Canis lupus familiaris: one gene and its partners. The protein of the gene in region 2 interacts with the protein of the main gene of each other region in a biochemical or structural test. Links are inferred from orthologs where the notes say so. Each region holds a gene or a part of one and is shown on either strand. Other genes may lie near its edges.

Region 1 (4,914 bases), on a different chromosome or scaffold from region 2:
ACTTTGGCTGAGTTAAAATAAATAAATAACACTCATAAGATTTCATTAATATTACATCAAGCCGTGCCATGCCACATGTTTCTTAGTGCCTAGTTAGATGTCTAACACTAATGCCTAAAGTTAATTCATGTGAAAAAAACCTTGAAAAGTGAATGTGAAATTCAACTGAACAAATAATTTGAAGTTGGAACTATAAGCACAAGAATTTGAATATGCAGGGGAAAATCCCTTTCCTTATTTTGTAACTCACTTAAAAATTCTCTAAGAACTATTCTCTTAAACTATTTGAGTTATTTCCCTTCAACTCTAGAAATCCACTTAAAATTTTTAATCAATGTATATGCCTTTTATTTTTTTCTCCCCCTCAAGGTACAAGAATGTCTTGCCAAAGGAGGGCCCGTTGAATTCGACCTTACCGTTACAATATTCCAGCTCAATCAGCAGGGTGGTATTGTCCATGAAGTGATTGTAGTAGGCAATAATGTTGTCATGCTGCAGCAGCGCCAGAATAACAATCTCATTCAAGGCGTCACGACGTTCCTTCTCTGACAGTCGGATCAAATCAACTTCCTTCCACACAACCAGTGAGTCATCCTACAACACATTAATAGAGGTATTGTGCTTTACTCTTGCCTGGCAGAGAATGAATCCACACCTGGATCTGTAAGTCTAGAAAGAAAACTTCCTAGATGGGCAGAGACTGACTCCTTTTATTTTTTCCTTTAAAAAAAACAGGAACAGAATTTAAAGGTTCTTCATACAATTGCGCAAAGCACTAAGATGCTGTTACATTGCTGCTACACTTAATTTGCATGATGTCAATTTCAGGTAAAAATAGGAAAGGTAGATCTCTAAGATTCTATTGAGGGACATTATGACAACCTGCTAGTCATGATAAGCAGTAGTAGGGCTAGAATATTGGGAGAAATGGAGAGCTGGAGAGCATGGTTATCTATAGCTAGTTACAGTTCCTTGTAAAATGGTAATATTAAACTTATCTCTAATTTTATAAATTTAGATTTCTCTAGTGATTTCTGTTTATGGTTTCTGGATAGGAATAAGTGATGCCTAAGGGCTTAGAGTTCACTTCCCTCACCTGCCCTATGTTGCAACTCCTATAGCTCCTATAACTTTTGTGTCATGTGTTTCCCTCTATCCATGACAACTTATCTGCAGCTCCCAATATCCACTCCCTTTTACAACACCCAAATTCTTTACTGATACTGCTTCCCAGCCCTGGAGCATCCCCACCTAAATCATTCTCCTTATCCTTTAGAATGATTCTGCCAGAACTTTTAAACTTGGGGGTAAGGGGTTATCCTGATAAACCTTCTACTGTGCCTTTATTCAGTGCAACCATTCCTTCATTTTCACAACTTACACTGGTATGATATTTGTGCATCCTTTCTCATTTATATACACATTCAACTTAAATGCTTTAAAAAAAAAAAACTAATGGCCAACTTGTCTTTCCACTGAAATAAAACCTTCTGGAGAGAAAGGGCTGCTTCTAATTAAACCTTTGTAAATTCACAAACATCATAAACATTTGGCAATATGAACAATGGTCTGCCATTTTTGAGAAGTATAATCAAATTTTACATAAACCAACCTCAATAATCAAGTTCAACATGATGGAAAGGCATGGGAGAGGAGACCTGAAACACTGTTCTAGCCCAAGATTTACTTCTAAGTGTCAAGTCATTTAAATATACTGTCTTAGTTTAATTATAAAACAGAAACAGCAATGCTCATCTTCTCCTTCTCATGAGTACAAATAAGAAAAACAGAATACCAACAGTAACCCTAAAACTGTACATTAATGTTGCACTAAGATAAAAAAGAACAGGAAAATTTTCTCTTGCAACCACCCACTTCCCCTCCTCCAACTTTCGGCCTTAAAAACTATGCTAGCTTGGAACACACCCCAGAACTGCAAATGGATCATTTATGGGTGAATCTTCATCACCCACAGTCTTCAAGTTTAAGACTTTAGTGATAAAGTCCAATTGATGGTTAGTTTTTGGAAGTAGTGTCAGCACTACAAGGCTTCAGATCAGTATACGTTCTGGACTTGGGGGGTCAGTGATCTATGAATCTCTTCAAAGGATGTGTATATATGCAAAGCGGGGCGGGGAGGGACGGATTATTTTTACATTAGGTTTTCAAAGGAGTCCTTGCCTCCCCCTAACCCAAGTTAAGAAACAGTGGCTTAGAATATGCCAGAAAGGTATTTCCCATTCACAAACACAGATGAAGAAAGTGACGAACCCAAGGATCTTCTAAAAAATCTCCAACTAGGTGTTCATACCTGAATTTAAAGATAGCGGCAAAGACGGTGGAATTGCCACTAACGTGGGAATTTTGAAGCTATTCCCCTCCTCTCCACCCCGACCTCGGAGAGCTGTACACACGAGGGAAGGAAGTTTTGACAACACTTCACATTCGTATGCCACTTTAGTTTGCAAAGTACCTTCGATTCTCAAAATCAAACTTAAAAAAATAAAAGATTATTTTTAGGGGGGTTATCATTAACCCCAATTTACAGATGGGAAAACTAAGGCTCAGAGAAGGTTCAACGCTTTGCTCAGTTCCCCAGGTTCGACAGAAACCATCAGTCAGTAAAACCGGGGATCTAAACTCCCGGCGCAGGGGAGCTGGAAGAGTGGAGAAGACCCGGAGACAAACACCCTGCGGCCACGCAAACCTAAGTGACCTAAGTGAGGACGAGGGAGGCGCCAGCCTCGGGGCTGGAAAGCGGGGCGGCGAAGGAGGGGCTGGGGCGGCCGGAGCCGGGGGCCGCTACCTCTGTGCGGCGGTACAGCGTGGCCTCCCCGAAGGCGCCGCGGCCCAGGACGCGGATGGGGATGTAGTGCAGCTCCTCCTGCTCCGCCGCGCCGCCGCCGCCTCGCGGCCCGGGACCGGCGCTGGGCCCGGGGCCCGAGTCCCCGCCACCCCCGGACTCGCTCCCAAAGTCCGAGTTGATGGAGTCGCAGTGTCGCTCGTACTCGCCCAGCACCGACATGGTGGCGGCTGCGGGACCGGCCTGCGTGTCCCCAGCGGCGCCGGCCGGCGCTGGCCGCGCTACTGCTCTCCCCCTTCAGACGCCGGCCCGCGGCTCCGTCCGCCCCGCTACCCCGCGAGGCTCCATGGTGGCTCCTGCCCCCTGACCCGGAAGCAGTTCCGGGTGCTTCCGGCCCGGCGGGCTTTCCTCCGCCCCCGCCGGCCCACTTGCTGAGTCCCCGGCCCGGCTCCCCCCCCCCCCCCCCGCCTCCCTCCCTCCCTCCCTGCCGGCGGGCCGCGCTGGCTGGCCGTCGGGGCGGGCGGGCGGCCTGGAACCCAAGGGCTCTGGCGGCGGCCGGGGAGTCGCCGACCGGTCTGTGGACCCGCCCCCGATCCCTGGCCAGGATCCAACGGCTCCGAGGTCCGGAGGTCGCCCCGTCGCATCTCGGCGCCAGGCCTATCTCGAGCGCGGTGATTCCACGTTGGACAGTGCTCGTTGTTTAGGGAGATACTGAAGATAACTGTAGTAAGCGGAAATACTTGCCTCCTGTCATCTCAGCCCGTAGGCCCAGTCGTTGCTCCCAGAACCACCCTAGGTCCTTCCCTCTTCTATACAACTCCCCAAAATATTTTAAGTCAACTCTCTTTTCCCCGATTTAACATTCTCCTTCCGTGTATCTGTCCAAATCTTTGACCGTCTGACCTCTTGCAACATTCTTGGAGCACGGGGTGCCAGTATATTTGAAGGTGGGAAATCTACAAGAAGATGCTCTAAACCCTCAAGTCGCTAAGAGAATTGTAATACAGTGAAAAAACATGTTCCATCAGTTATTGACCTCGGGCAACTTTACATCTCCAAGCTTTTTTAAAATCTGTAAAGCTGTAGGAACATGACCTGTATCACAGAGTTAACAGCTAAGTTTTATTGAGTGTTTTGTTCCTAACACTGTTAAAGGTTGTCTTTCCTTGAGTCATCCCACTTAATCCTCATATTTTTCCCCAATCTACCGAGGGAACTGAGATAGAGAGATTAAGTAACTTGCTCAGTGTTACACAGCTAATAAGGGAAGTCAAACCCAGTAATCTGGATCCACATCTTTCAGAGAGCATGTCTTGAGAGTAAGAGAAAGTCATGTGGCTGGAGGCCAGGGTGTATGTAGGGCAGAAGCAAGAGAAGACAGGGCTTCAATTGTTGAGTTTGGCTTTCCTGTGGACAATAGAAAATAAATTGAAATTTTTAAGGAGGGGAGTATATGATTAGTGACTATCCTAATTTGCTGGGGAAGTCCCAATTCACGCCTTTTCCCCAGGCATAATAGAGCTTTATTTTGCTCAAGTGCCCAGCTCAGACAATAAACAACAGTCACTTTACATAAGACCAAAGATATATTTTCTTAAGAACTCTGTTAACAATGTGGAGGACAAAGGCTAGAAGCAGGGAGACCAGTTAAGAGACAATAAAATTCTAAGAAAAGAAGAGGCACTGAAGTATTTATCTATCAGTGTGAGTGGAAAGGAAGTCCATATTTGAGAAATCCATCTGAGAAACATTTATTTTTTAAGAGATTTTAATTACCTGAGTGAAAGATAGGGAGAGAAAGCATGAGAGTGGGGGGGGGGGGGGCGCGGAGAGAAGGAAGCTCCTGCTCAACAGGGAGCCTGAATTGGGGCTCAATCTCAGGACTCTGGGATTATGACCCAAGCCAAAGGCAGATGCTTAACCAACTGAGCCACCCAGGCATCTCCATCTGAGGAACATTTAGAACTTTATGATCAGTAGGGATGTGGTTGATGAGGTAAATAAATGAGTCCAGGAGATTCACTTCCTGATTTTTAATGAGGTGGATAGTGATTGCAAGGAGAGGATAAAGAGAATTGGTAGAATGGGGTAGGGGAGTTGTGAAAGATGAA
Region 2 (4,530 bases):
GCCGCCTCCGGTGCTCGGTGCTCCTACTGCCTCTCTCCACAGAGGTGTCTGCCTCGGCCCGGTTATGACTCGAGTCCGCTAGCCGCTGCCGCCACCTCCCTCTACCCCTGCCTCCCGCACTCCCGGACCGGGCCCCCTCCCCCCGCGCCGCCGGCCGCCTGCTCCCTCCTCCTCCTCCTCTCTCCTCCCTCCTCCCTCCTCTCTACCCCCTCCCTTCGGCGGGCGCCGACGCACAATGCATCATGGGGCTTGTAGTCCGTCCGGGGCCAGCGGAAAAGGGATCGCATAGGCCTCTGGAACTTCACTTCCCAGCAAGCCAAGGAACAGCGCAGGCGCACTAAACCGCTCCCCTCCCCCGGGGAGTGGCGGGGAGATTGGGAGCAGAGGGCAGAGCGGAAGAGCGCGCGCAGGCTCCTGGGAAATGTAGGCTGGGCGGGACTAAGAAAGAAGGAAAAGAAGGGATTAGAACTCTCGGCCACCATACTGCCTCATTCTGCGGCTGCTTTCTCCCCCGGGGGACCGCCCCACTTCCGGCCAGGCGGAGAAATGCTTGCTGGGGGATGAAGTTCTCCTGATGATAATGGCTCCCTTCTCGCTCCCTTGAATTCCACCCACTGGCACCAAGTCTGGTCAAGTGAGATGCAACCCAGGACAGAGTCCTCTGACTGGCTCCCACGCACGAAAATCTCTTCTTTCATCCAAAAGCTGTAACAAACTTGGGTGCATTTATCTAAAGTGGATACTTACTTTCTCCCCAGGAACCCAAAGTAAAAAAACAAAAGCCACTGTATTTTTTACATTGGGACCCAATACACAAGTATATAAAAGTATAGTTTCATGACCTGATACTTGGGAGTATTCGATCACAACAAAAATACTTTTGCGCAAGCAGTAACCCAATATCAACAGAATAAACCAGAATGTAGGATTACTGCCCCTCCAACCTCCACTCTCCCCACCAGAGGACAACTAGGAAAAAAGGGGCGGGAAGCAACACAAAGTAAAATCCAGTTCAGCTTGGTGGTTTCCTCTTTATTGATGTGCCTCCTGCCTTCCCCCCAACAATTTCAGTCCCTTCCCTCTACCCCCAAAAATGAAGGTAATGAGAGGAAGGGAATGTTGGGGTTCTGAGCCCCTTGGGCAGTTAGGGAACAGAAACCAAAACAATCACCGGATGTGACAGAGACGGACAATCAAGAAGTCTAGAGCAGAGTGGGAAAGGTCGAAGAGGAAGGGGAGAAAGGAGAGGTCCAAGAAGCCACCTCCCCCATGAGCCCTCCTGCTGAGAAGGGCTGGAGGAGAGCCTCAAACATTAGGAAGTGCAGGTCCCAACAAAGGGAGGTGAGGGATGAGCCCAAAGAAGGAGTAGGTCGAGGATGGGGGCCACCTCTGTCTTTGTAGAACCGGACCCCCCCCCACGTCAGGGGCAGCAGCTTCACAGACCGTAGACGCTTTCATCACTGTAGGCGATGTATAGAAAGAAGTCTTCTTCGTGGTGTTCCTGGATGGAGGCAGAAAACTATGGCACTCAGACGTCGGGGCTGTGGGCACGTGAACCACCCACTGCCCAGACACGTTTTTTGGAAAGCCCGTTCTTTCTGAAGACCCCCAAACGCTAGTGCCCTGACTCATACTCACTCATTTGCTCCAGGCCTTAGCAGCCAACAAGATTACCGCTGGCAGCAGTCCTGGGCAAAAAGATCTCAAACTGTTCCAAAATCTGCTGCCTTATACTTACCTGGCAGGGGAGATACCATGATCACAAAATCTGCTGCCTTGGGATGGTGGGGAAAGTGGACAAGAGGGTGGATCCAAAGCACTGCTGTAGTTCTCACCTCTATTCCCAATACCTTTATCCAAGCCCTCAACCTGGGACTACCCTCAAAATTTTGAGGTCACACGTAAAACTGAGAGCCAGCCAGCTAGTCCAAGAACTGCTGACCTGAAAATCTCTTCCAACACCTCTGCGGAGCCCCTGACTCCTTCCCAGTCACCATACCTGGTATAGCTGACCCATTGTGGCACTGGTGGGTGGAATGACGTTGTTGACAAAGAAAAACAAGGCATCCTCAGCTCGGAGATGAATTCGCTTCCGGATCAAGAAGTAGAACTGACCAACTGCCAAAGAGACAAGATACGATAAAGTCACAGGGATCAAAAAAGGCCTCAGAAGAGCAGTCACTACGGGGAGGCAGCATTTTCCCACCGACACTGCACCCCCACGCACAGGCAGCAAACCTGGGTCCTGGGTCAGGTTCCCACCTGTGAGATCAGAAGGCACCAGATACTTTTTTTTGTCCAGGTCTCCTATCCGAGCTTTGGGAGCCTTTTCTACTATCACCTATAAAAAGAAAGACGGAAATTAGGAAGCATCGAGGGGGGACAGCCCCACAGTCACCCCGTCGAGAACTCCAGAAACAAAACTGCTAGCACCCCAAGCCATCCAACTCGTTTTTCTTTGTCTGGGAACACGCGGTGCAGCCTCAAGCAGAGGCATCCTGACCCCGCAGCGTCAGGCTCACCTCGATATCCTGAATCCCCCGGCTGGGCGTCATAATAAACGAGGATCTTAGGCAGGCATGGCTCGTGCGAGCCGACGACAGCGTCGGCCTCGACGAGCCGGCCAGCTGGGAGGTGGCCATGGGAAGCCCCGACTGTCAAACTCCCTGCAGCCTCCCCAGCACTCCACACGTCTCCCTCGGCCAGCCGCGGCCCCCCACCCCCAGCTCCCTCGCCGCCCCGCTCCTTCCAACCTCCGCTCCCGGACACGATAGCCCCTGGCCCGGTCCCCGGCCACCCCCGCCAGCAGCCCGATGCCCTCGCTGCCTCGCCGGACCCCAAGCCGGGCTGTGGCGTCAGAGCCAGCGCCCCGCGTCCGCGGCCCCGGCTATGGTTCTCACCGGAACCCGGTCCGGGTATTTCTTTCTGATCTTCTCGCCCTCAGAGCGGCGTTTCTCGAACGGATGCTCTTCTTTATACACGAACTTCATCCTCCCGGGAACCGGGCTGGACCGGGCTGGGCTGAGGGAACCCGGGGGGGGGCCGGGACGGGGGGCGGCGGCGACGGCGGCGACGCGCGGGCGGACTCAGCGGAGCGATCCCGGGACTTGCGCCACTTCCCTATTCACCAACCCCGCCCCCGGCCGTCGGGGCCGCCCCGCCCGCTGGGTTACGCTACTAGCGTAACGGCCCTCACGCCGCCGGCGTAGCACCACCTACTGACCGCCCCCCTCACGCTGCCTGCGTAATCGCTTTGGAATCAGCTTGAGGGCTACGCAGCCGACGTAGCCAAGGTGGTTGGTCTGGGCTATGGTCGAAAATAACCGAAAACCCACATTCCGCCGTGCCCCACCGAGCTGGGCACCACAAGGGCTAGGAACTGCCGATTGTATTCTGAGGCTTGGTGCTCCGAAAAGTCTTTTCGGATACAAGGTGAAAAGGGGGAGGGGGGGAAGCAGAGAATTTTAAGGACAGCTATTCACGAAACGCGTCGGTACGCCGAAGGCGGCTGCTGACTCCAAAACAAAGTAGTACCCAAACGGAGAAGCTGGATCTCCGGGAAGAAAGGAGGGCAGACACGAAACAGGTATTCGCAGAAACGCACAGAACGCCTAGGTTCCCAGGAGGAGTGGACCAATGGGGACCGGAGAGGAGGTCCGAAAGGTAGGGACTACGTCAGCGCGGAGGAACACCTTCGGCACTGGCAGCAACGAAAAGTCATGTGATCTCAGAGAAGGGCGGAGCGTCACGTGGCGGCCGCGGGAAGTAGAGCCGGCCGCGGGGGGAGGGGCGCCGGCGGGAGGGGAGGGGGCGGGGCCGAGGGCCGGGGCACTCTCTGCGTCCACGTCGGTGCGCCTGCTCACGGACCGCGGCTTCCTCCTGCCCTGCAGCTCTGGTTCGCCGGGACCCACGGCTGTCCCTCCGACCCCACCCAGGGCACTCATCCTGCGGCCGAGACCCTTCCCACCAAAGGTCGACTCGTTCCCTGCTCCTTCCTCCGGAGCCAGCACCGCTGCTCCCTGACCCTCGGGCCTCGGCCTCCGCTTTGGGGAGCCAGGGTGGATGTGAACAAAGACTCCTCCCCTCATTTCCCAACCCTGAGAGAAGGACCTAGGGCAGCTTTGGTTTCAAAGTTATAATGCATGGTTTAAAAGAGAGGAAAGAAAAAGAGAGCGCGCCGGTTACAGGTCTGAGAGTATAGGAAGAAGGGAATGTAGAGGGAAAGGTTGGGGGCAGGGGGACAAGTTTGGGGAAAATCCAGTGGCCCAAAATCCCAGTTCCCCACCCACAGCCCAGCCCTTGGAGTGAAGAATTAGATCAGTTTTGTACAAGAGTTTTTAAAAAATCAAATCACAACAAAGCTGGCTTGGCTTTTCTTTGAGCCTCCCGGATTACCGAATGTCTGTGTGTCATTCTGGCCAGTCCTGTCTCCACCAGACAGTTTGGACTCTCCTGGGCCTCCGCTTATGTCCCAGTCTGGGGTTTCCAGAGAGTGCGAACACGAAGTTAGAGTGAGGCTGCTGCAGAGTC
Region 3 (4,851 bases), on a different chromosome or scaffold from region 2:
GAAGAGCCAAAAAAAAAAAAAAAAAAAAAAGAAAGAAAGAAAAAGAAAGAAAGAAAGAAAGAAAGAAAGAAAGAAAGAAAGAAAGAAAGAAAGAAAGAAAGAAAGAAAAGAAAGAGGAGCCAAACGACAGGAGTGAGATGTAAATTCAAAGGGAAAGCAGAACAAGAAGTGGATAGGAGAAACTCTCTGCCCCCGCCATCCAGTATATAAATGGAGTGCTGGGAAGAAGGTTTGAGATGTTTTTATGCAAATATTAACTAGGAGAAATTTGAAATTTGGCTTACACGTGTGAACATTAGCCCTCATGAGCTAAGCATCCATACAACTATGCAACTGTTTCCCCTGTGGAAGCATTACAGCTATTAAAAAGCAAAAGAAGAATTTGAGTATCACTGTCTTACACCCCTGAAAGATAGAGAATCTAGATGATGATCATGAATGGCTGCTAACATCACAAAAAAAGAAACAACCAGATATTACATGCCTCCTTATGGAAGTCCATGAAATCCATTTGTATTTGAAATAACAAAATAATGGGGCGCCTGTGTGGGTCACAACTGGGGGGGCCCTGGGGTGGGGGAGCGGAGGATCGCCTTGGAGTTGGGCCTGGAGTTGGGCTCGAATGAGAGGGAGGCTCTCGCCAACACTCCAGGTGAACTCGCCAACAGTCCAGGTGAGCCCTGCTAAAGAGCTGACTGGGAGCCGGCAAGTAGGAATGATGAAGCAGGAAAGAATTCCAAACATCTGTGCTGCAGGATCAGTTGGGCTGGTGATTGATCAGCGAAGCACGGTTGGGATACCTCCAAGGTTTCTAATAGGAGTAACCGGGGGAACAATGACAAGGTTACCAGAGGTCTAAGATACAGCCATAGGGGTAGGTTTGGAGGGCGAAATGGTGATTTTGTTTTTTTTCCCCCGTTGGACATTCCGTGGAAATGTCCAGAAGACAGCTAGAAATAATCATCCATGCCGTATCTTTTGAGGTTCAGCTGCAAGCCTGAGACTCTCTAAAAGAATAAGGGGGGGGGGCACTCGACGGGATGGGCACTGGGTGATGCGCTATATGTTGACAACTTGGACTCCAATAAATAAATAAATAAATAAATAATAAATAAGAATCTAGATCTCGAATTTAAAAAATAATAAAAGTAAAAGTAATATAAATAAAAGAGTTACATATCATAAAACAAAAAATAAAATAAAATAATCATAGTTGGAGTTGGAAGAATCATTCACCAGACTTCAAGGCGCCTGCGGGCTCAGACTCCCCCGCTCCTCTTACTAGTTGCTTGTCCTTCCCTAAATTCTGCCTCTCGGATTTTGAGAAACAAGATAGAAGACGGGATGGAGAATCCAACGTTTTGTTTTCGAGGCGCTGCAGCACCCGGGGCTCCGCAGGGGCGGGAGGATGGGTTGAGGCCCGGGCCCCGCCAGGCCCCCGCGGTGCAGACCGGGAGTGCGCCGAGTGGGGGCGGGGCGGGAGCCCGCATGTCCGGCGACCGCCCGCCCAGGTGCTGCAGGTGCAGGCGCAGGTGCTCCTCCGTCCGCGCCCTCCCGCTCTCCGGACCGCGTCTCAGTCTCCTCCCGGTCCCAGGGAGAGTTCCAGTTCCCGCAGCACGGGGGGACGAGTGGGGAGGAGAAGCAAGGAGCCGACCAGGCCGGCGCGGCCGCCGCCTCTCGCGGGCTCCCCTCCCCGCCCGCCCGCCCGCCGCCCGATTACATAACGGGCCCACGCGCGCTCTCGCGAGGCTTCCACCGCCCCCTCCTCGCTCCACGTCAGAGGGAACCGGGCGGAGCGGCCAACATGGCGGAGCGCAGGAGACACAAGAAGCGGATCCAGGTAGGAAAGGCGAGCCCCCCGCTCCCACCCGGGGCAAGGGGGCTTCGGGGCGCTCGGCAGGAGACGCGGCGAGGGGAGCGCCCCGGGAGGGCGAGGCCGGTGGGGCGGCCCCGCGCGAGGCGCCGTTGTGAGGGGGCCTGAGGGGGGGCGGTGTCGGCGACGGGGACGGGGACGGGGACGGCGACGGCGACGGCTGGGAGCGAGGCGGGCGAGGGGCGGCCGCGGCGGGAGGCGAGAGGCGCCGCGCTCGGGGCGGGCCGCCCGGGGTCCCCGAGGCCGCCCCGCCGGGCCTGCGCCGCGCCCCCGGCCTCCCGCGCCCCCCGCGGCCTCGGCCTCGCGCGCTCGTTACCCCGAAGTCGCGGCCGCGGGACGCAGGGTGGGAGGAGGTGGGGCCCACGGACCCGCGGCGGCCGGCGCTTTGTGCGCGGGCGGGACGCGTCTGCTGCTGCCCGGCGGGGCCCGCGCGGCGCTCGGCCTCCAGACGTGCAGCGGCGCCCGCGACGCGGCGGAGACACACGGCGGCGGGGTCGCGCCCTGCAGCCCGCCCCGCCGCCCCGCCGCCCGCGCTCGTCACCTGTGCGTTGCTCCCCGGCGGCTCCTCCGTCGTCCTGCCTTTGGGCCAAGCGGGCGAAGCCGCGCCGAACGCCGTAGACCTGGCGTGGTGTTTCCCAGCCGCCGCCTCAGCCTAACCTGCCGGAAACCTCCCGCGTCGTCGCAGATCCACACGGCGTACTCGGTTGATGCTGCCCATCCCGTCTGTCTCCTCGGGTCCCGATGCTTAGAATGACTAGTTTTTTTCTCTGTAATGTCCTATTCCTCCGTTTAAAATTATATGTATAGATAGATCTAGATCTGGATCTATTTTGTGGTCACTTACTTGGGCCTTATCACAGGTGATTTGAGCCATGCACGTTAACATCCTCCAGAAAACTATGAAGTGCTAGCGGGGAAAGGATGCCAGTGACCAGCAAACCTGGGATTTTTGGAATCGGGCAGAAATAGGGAAGTAGTTCCCAACAGAGTACAGAAGAGATACAGAAAGAGACAAATTGCCCCAAGTTCCAGCAGGTCATCGGACTAGGGTTTAAGGTTATTGTGGAACATCTTTCTTTCTTTTCTTTCTTTCCTTCCTTCTTTCCTTCTTTCTTTCCTTCTTAATTTCCTTCTTTCTTTCTTTCCTTTTCTTTTTTCATTTCTTTCTCAAACTATTCCTAAGTTTCAGAATTCGGTGTTTGTTATTGGTTGGGTATGGTCAGAGTTTGTATTGAAGTCGTTGGTCAAATTTGTACTTAAAGTAACACAGATAGTACATGTTATGCCTTTGAATACACATTATTTGTACAATTTCAGCTTTTCTTTGCCATTGGTTATAAAGGTGATCCTTATTCACTTTTGACTAGCTGCCCCCCCCCCCCTTTTTTTTTCCTTCAATTTTGATCTTCTGTCAAATGGTAAGGTACATTAAGAAGCCATGTAGTAGTGGCAGGGAGCTAAAACTTGAGCCAGGCTTGCCTGTTTGTACCCTGGTTTCACTAATTATTAGTTGTGTAACTTTGGGCACGTTACTTAACTTTTTACCTCAATTTACAAATTAGAAGAAAGGATATGTACCTCACCAAAGGTTTGTAAGGTTGTTGTGAAAAATAGATGAGTCAGGGATTTGTTATTAAAGGTTGTAGAAGTTATTAAGAGTATTCAGCATATCACTCCTTCCTTTTCCTGTACCCAAAAGGAGGAAGGATTTAGGATAATTTTTTTTTTTTTTTGTTAACCATTCTGATACGCTGAAAAAAGATTAACAGCTATCTGTTTAGTGAATAAACCATTAAGTTGTAAGCTCCATAAAGTATACCTGTTTACCTGATATTGTTTGAGGATCAGATAAATATGTGAGAATCTGATTGACATATTGCTAAAAGAAAACATATTACATTTATTTTTCCCATTCTGGAAGTTTATACATAGCTGTGCTAAAATGTTGTGGACCTCTTGGGAATGCTACTTAGAGTACCACTACACAGTGTTAACAAACCAGTAAAAATGTAAAATATAACATCCTTGGGTTCCCCCCCCCCCCCCCCCCCCCCCCCGCCAATGAGAAACTATAATATTGGCATCGCTTTAGACAAAAAGATCAAATGTAATGAAAGTTCATAGTTGAAGTTACAGAAAAGATTCTATTGTAAGACTTCGGGGCAAAAAGGTCTGTAATATCAACTCAGTTTCCTGTTGTTACTTGATGCTTCATGTTTTAAAAAAGATTTTTATGTCTAATAGATTCAAGTGACCTTGAATTGTAATTTGTACATTGGAAGAAATGATTGATACAATTTCAGGGTCTGGAAAATTAGCTAATTATTTGCTTTTTCTAGGGTTATGAAATTTCAGATTCTGATATCCCGTCAAAGTTAGAAGGAAGGGGACTATTTTACCACATTTTCTTAGATTCATTTTACTGATCACTGAAAACTGGAAGTGAGCCACATGTTTATTAACATTATAATAGGAAACCATAATGATGGAGATTCTCAAAGAGTAATGTCAATCCAAATTAATGGACCATTTGAAAATAAATAACTTTAAGATTTAAGAAATTAATTTTGTAGGTTTTTAAGAATATGCAATATGTGCTTGTTGGTTAACAAAGTGCTTACTGGTTTGGAATCTTGGTATCATGAAATTTTAGAGTTGAGAAGGATTTTCAGATTGTAAAATTTGTGTGGAATCCCTTTGCACAAAGGGAGTTCTTATGTAAAAAAGCAGAACGATGGGCCCAAACAAAGCCCTATCACCTCAGTACCCCACTACCATCTTGCCATACCTCATGGTCCTTTAGGCTATTTTTAGGACCTACATCTAAAAGTTTACTAGGCATAAAACTTATTGATATATCACTGTCATTTTATAGATAAACTGAGGTTCAGTGAGGTTATATGACTTGACCCAGGGTCACTCATCAGGGTAGTAAAACCAGATTTAGACCAAGTCTTCTAATTCCCAGTTGAGTGTTC
Region 4 (4,865 bases), on a different chromosome or scaffold from region 2:
ACCTGCTATGCAAGGGATAGAGAAGGTAAACATAGTCTAATTCTCAGCAGACTCATGGCTGGAATGATAGTCAAACAGAACTTTAATTTAGTACAACCAGCACAGTGTGTTATGGGCATATAGATGAGAGGCATCTCTTTCATAACTTAAATGTCAGAGATAGTGGGGGTGGTGGTGCTGGTGGTTTGACTGGGAAAGTCTTTCTGGAGATTAAGATTCATAGCATAATTCAGAGTCCATTTTAAAGTATGACAATTTGATCCCATTTTAAAATATGACAATTTTTAAAGAAGATTAAATGCTGTTCTCTGAAAGATTTTTTTGATGAAATAGAAGAAGATGGGACTAGGGCATGGAAGTGAGGATGAGAAGTGAGGGATAGAATGACATAATTTCAAAAGTTTTTCCTAGTTTTTGTGTTTTAATAATTTAGCTTTTTGCTGTCTTGTTAGTTCTGAACTATAAGTCCGTCGATGTTTAGTAAATGAAAAGGAGTATAAAATTTTATAACAATCTCTTTTTTGCAGAACCTGACTTCAGGGTTCAACAACGAATGGTCTTAAATTTAACATAACTAAATTTAATGGGGAATATAGTGCTTTGAAAAATAAATCATGTAAGTTTATTACATATGGAAACAATGCAAAAAAGAGGAAAACGACTATTAGACAAGTCTAATTTGGATTAATATTCACAAAGTTCCTTTATTTAACATTCTCTTCATAGACTTTGCTCTAACCTTCAAGAAACCTCTATGACTCTACACCTGGATAATTTCTAATGAAAGCAAACTCATTACATAGCACCTTAGATGATCATAAGAAAGATATTTATATACGGAACTTCATGTTAAATGGTATCCTAAAAAGATAGATGCAGGAAGGGATCAAATCACAATGAGGTCAGGGCCTTCGGAAAAGGTTGGGGGAGACAGGTGACAAGAAGGAAGAGAAACTTTTCTTGACTTCTTTTCTGTGCACCATAATTTGTTTTAGGTTTTCCAGGTGATCCAAGCGAACAGCTGGCAAGACCACAGTGCATGAAATCTGTGCACTGGGATCTCACCGCAGTCCTAATTTTCTTTGTAATCAGACGTAATTATAGCGAAATGTAGTGAGGAGTTTGTCCACAATCAACATCAAACAAGAATTTCCAGTAGTATCCCTCGTGCTGTAGCTACAAACGTCAAACCGGGCGGGCGTAAAACACAGCCCATAATTATAAACAACTAGAGACAGAAGCGTGGGCAGTTAGTGACACTTCAAAAGGCTGCACAAGATGCTTGGGATGTGTCTTTGGGAAATCCAGAGAAGAAATGAGTCAAATAGGATTGGGGCAAAAGCCAATTTTCGGAGGCAGATGCGGAGCGGCAGCTCTCAGCGGCTCCAGGGAAGGTGCATCCCCCGCCCCCGGCCAGCACAGACAGGCCCCGGGTCCTAACTAGGCCTTGGTCCGCGGGTCTCCGCGCCCTTTTTCCGCTCGCAGCTCGGGGGCCGGCGCTTGACTCCGCCTCCGCCTCGGCCTCGGCCTCCGCCTCCGCCTCGGCCCCGCCCCCGCCCCCGCCCCCGCCCCCGCCCCATCAGGGCCCGGCTCCGCCCACCAGCCTGGGCCGCCGCTGGCTCCGCCCACTCTCCCCGGGCGGCGGAGGGGCGGGGCTCGGCGGAGGGGCGGGGCTGGGCGGGGCTCGGCGGGGCGGGGAGGGGCGGGGCGCGGAGGCCGCGGCGCTCGCGAGCGGGAGGAGGATCCGCCGCGGACTTACGGGAAAGTTGGTCCGAGTTCCTGGAGGTTTTCCCCGGGGACTCGGGGGCTCGGCCGGCCGGTGCCCGGCTCCTGTCCTCCCTGCGTCCTTCAGCGCCCACCGGGGCCGTTCCTCTGTCGCCGGCCGCCATGGAGCAGCCGCCAGCGCCCAAGAGGTAACGCTCGCGGGGAGCCGGGAGCCGGGAGCCGGGAGCCGGGAGCCGGGAGCGGAGGGAGGGCGGGGGGGCCGGCGGCCGCGGGCGGGGGCGGCTAGGCCCGAGCTGGCGGCGACCCCTCCGCGGCGGCGGGGCCCGGGCCGGGCGCGTCGGCCGTCGCGAGGCGGGGCCGGGCCGCGGCTGCCCCCAGGCCCGGGGCGCCGCGGGGAGGCCGAGCCTGGCGTCTGCCGCGGCGGCCGGGCCTGGCGGCGTGGGGAGTCGCTGGGGAGTCGCTGGGGAGCGGCTGGGGAGCGGCTGGGGAGCGCCGGCCTCCCCGCCGCGCTCCTGGGCCTCTTCCTCCCGGCGAGTCTCGGAGCCCGGGACGCGAAACGGGGCATGCATTAGGCTGCTCGCAGCCTTCTCGGCGCTTTTGTCCAGTGTTTCTCGTGATACTGCCATTTATTTGAGAAGGCGGATTATTTGTTTCCCGTCGAAGGAATTCCGTAGGAACAGCTACGTAGTGTGTGGACCTTGAGGGTGTACCGCACTGACAGGTGTTCCTTCCTCACCGCCCTCAAGTTCAAAAGTATTTATGGATGCGAGACAGTAGGAATCCTAAATTAGAACCCCTTCCCCGCATAGTGCTTTGTTTTGTTTTCTAGCATATAGAAGTAGTGATGCTTTGGTATTTACTGTTAGTTTGATCTTTGATATATTGGAAGAGTGAGAGTACACAGTAGATACTTTTAAAAGTAGTATTTGAAATGATCAAGCTAAATCAAGGCTGCCCAGAGATATAAATTCATAATGTGCATCTTTTTTCCCCCCAAGAATGAATCAACGTCATTTAACTGGTGTTGTTTAAAACATGTAATCTCAGTCTTTCATTTGTAATTTATAAAATAAGAGTACTAATCTTTCTCCCAGAGAGTGCTGTTGTGAAGATTAAGGAGTTCCTGTGTTCTGATACTTAGAGATCTTTAGACGAAAGGTGATATATTCAGGAACATGGAATAATTAAAAAGGTAGGAACTTTGTGAGCTGTTGTGAATCGTGTGACTAGACATGTGAGCCTTGAGGCCTGGAAACCATCTGTTCAGGTGAAAAAAGGTGGGTGTGTGGAAGGGCGTCCAAAAGAGACTTGTTATCAGAGCCCTTGATTTTTGTCTGGTATTTTGTATTGAATTCTCGTATTGATTGGGCACCCAGTTTTAGTATCTTAGAAGAAAATTGGAAACTTTTTTTCTTCTCTGTTTTGGAAGGACTGTAAGGGGGCCACCTCTGAGATGATGCCCAAAGGTCAAGTTGAACAACTCCAAATTGAAGTAGAAGCTCTATTCATTCATTGGCTGTAAATTATCGGTTTCTTTATAGGTATAAGAGATCCTCTGGCCTTGCAGGGGCTCTAGAAAACCTAGAAGGGCCAGGGGGAGATGTGGGTGGTATATATAACCATTTCATGGTCATTTATACTTTACAAAGTGATGCTTGCACTCCAACAGGCTCATTTTTAGTTCTCTTCAGACAGACTTCGTTGTTCCAGGAAGGCATTTCTGGAAAGCAAGCTATGTGACATTAAGCCCATATATTTGAATGTCACTTAAATTTTTTTCATAGCATTTTCATTTTCATAATATCATCATAGCAACCCTATTACGTAAGTTTGATTACAGGAAGTAATCCTGTTTTGTAGCTGAGGACACAAAGAGTTTGCTCCATGGAAGGCTATGACAGGGATTACTGAAAGTGAGTTTTTGTGTCCTCCCTATTGATTATTACCTTCTAATAATAAAATATGCCATTTTTGAGGTCATTTTTTCCCCCAGGAAATTTGTATATGCATTCCTTTATTTTATTGTCATAAGAAAGAGGAATCATGGCTCTGCAGCTTATTACGCTAGTTCTAAATTTAATTTCTTCATCTGTAAAGTGTGTTACGGGGATTAGAATAGGTCATGTGTAAAAGCACTTAGCACAGTGCTCCATAATGTGTTGAACGACGCTAAATGTTGGTTTATTTTTTCCTTATTAAATGAAACTCAGAGAGGTTAAATAATTTGGTCAAGTGGAGGAGTTGCCAGAACCCTGAATCTGATTGGCTGCAAAGGCTGTGAACCCTCTCATTGTGTACAGTGATACCTCTTTTTAAAAACACTTCTTTTAGCCTTCCATGGTGTGGTGGCCATGTCTTTGTACGATCCTGTGGGCCCTCTGCTTGTTCTTTTCCTAATCCCTGTAAGAATGTTGCTTTGCTTTTCTGCCTTGCATAGGAGCACTTCCTTAGGGCTCAGACATTTTTACATGGTCACATTTATGTTGCTGATGTTCAAGTCTGTATGACCAGCAGGTGTGTTCAGTTGGAATATTTGATATTTTTATGCAGATCCATTCTTTCATTATTCTTTCTAGTTTGTCACTAAGTCCTATTGAATTCTCCATCAAGAAGTCTAGATTCATTTTCTTTTCTGTTTTTCATTTTTGATACTACTACTCCATACCTGGGTTTTATGACCGTCATACTTGATTTACAGCAATGCCTTCCAACTAGGTACTTTAGGGCAGTGGTTTAAAAAATTTTTTAGCAGGAAGGCTGTGTTTGGAGTAGAGGCAGGCACTAGGACCTGGTTCTCACTGCCTTATCTCCTTCTACTCCCCTTTTGCTGCCTGCAGAACCTCCTAATGATCCATAGGACACTGCCTGCAATGGCTTTTGATTTGTTTTCTTAAAGCATCACTTTCACCATGCTATTCCCTTTAAAAAAATTTTTTTTTTAATTTTTAAAAATTTTTTGGTTTGGGGCACACTTGTTTACTTAGTATCCAAGACCCCTATCACTTGGTCTCAGATTTAATCCCCAGGCTTTTGTTATTCTTCTCCAAGATGAATCTGTCCTGAAGTTTCCCTTTTGTTTTTTATTTAGGTTGTAGGGTATGGGTACTCCCAACTTTGCCTTTGTTCAGGCTTTTCCTTTG

What was found. The genes of interacting proteins can lie anywhere in the genome.
Region 1: the proteins of GABARAP (region 2) and NEK9 form a complex in vitro, tested with the Homo sapiens proteins (2 studies listed by BioGRID and IntAct, with this or other methods). The link is inferred for Canis lupus familiaris from reciprocal best matches to the Homo sapiens genes GABARAP and NEK9.
Region 3: the proteins of GABARAP (region 2) and SEC62 interact in a test that uses a peptide from one of them, tested with the Homo sapiens proteins (2 studies listed by BioGRID and IntAct, with this or other methods). The link is inferred for Canis lupus familiaris from reciprocal best matches to the Homo sapiens genes GABARAP and SEC62.
Region 4: the proteins of GABARAP (region 2) and STK3 form a complex in vitro, tested with the Homo sapiens proteins (2 studies listed by BioGRID and IntAct). The link is inferred for Canis lupus familiaris from reciprocal best matches to the Homo sapiens genes GABARAP and STK3.

The regions. Positions count from the first base shown.
Region 1 is NC_049229.1:48,533,743-48,538,656, forward strand, and holds the start of NEK9 (serine/threonine-protein kinase Nek9), read right to left. Parts: upstream 3,169-4,914; 5' UTR 3,026-3,168; coding exon 2,807-3,025; intron 595-2,806; coding exon 417-594; intron 1-416.
Region 2 is NC_049226.1:32,413,780-32,418,309, forward strand, and holds GABARAP (gamma-aminobutyric acid receptor-associated protein), read right to left. Parts: upstream 3,110-4,530; 5' UTR 2,991-3,109; coding exon 2,901-2,990; intron 2,342-2,900; coding exon 2,263-2,341; intron 2,119-2,262; coding exon 2,000-2,118; intron 1,502-1,999; coding exon 1,436-1,501; 3' UTR 1,012-1,435; downstream 1-1,011. UniProt on the Homo sapiens protein: Ubiquitin-like modifier that plays a role in intracellular transport of GABA(A) receptors and its interaction with the cytoskeleton.
Region 3 is NC_049255.1:34,814,866-34,819,716, forward strand, and holds the start of SEC62 (translocation protein SEC62), read left to right. Parts: upstream 1-1,683; 5' UTR 1,684-1,804; coding exon 1,805-1,840; intron 1,841-4,851. UniProt on the Homo sapiens protein: Mediates post-translational transport of precursor polypeptides across endoplasmic reticulum (ER). Proposed to act as a targeting receptor for small presecretory proteins containing short and apolar signal peptides.
Region 4 is NC_049234.1:1,024,677-1,029,541, reverse strand, and holds the start of STK3 (serine/threonine-protein kinase 3), read left to right. Parts: upstream 1-1,697; 5' UTR 1,698-1,887; coding exon 1,888-1,913; intron 1,914-4,865. UniProt on the Homo sapiens protein: Stress-activated, pro-apoptotic kinase which, following caspase-cleavage, enters the nucleus and induces chromatin condensation followed by internucleosomal DNA fragmentation.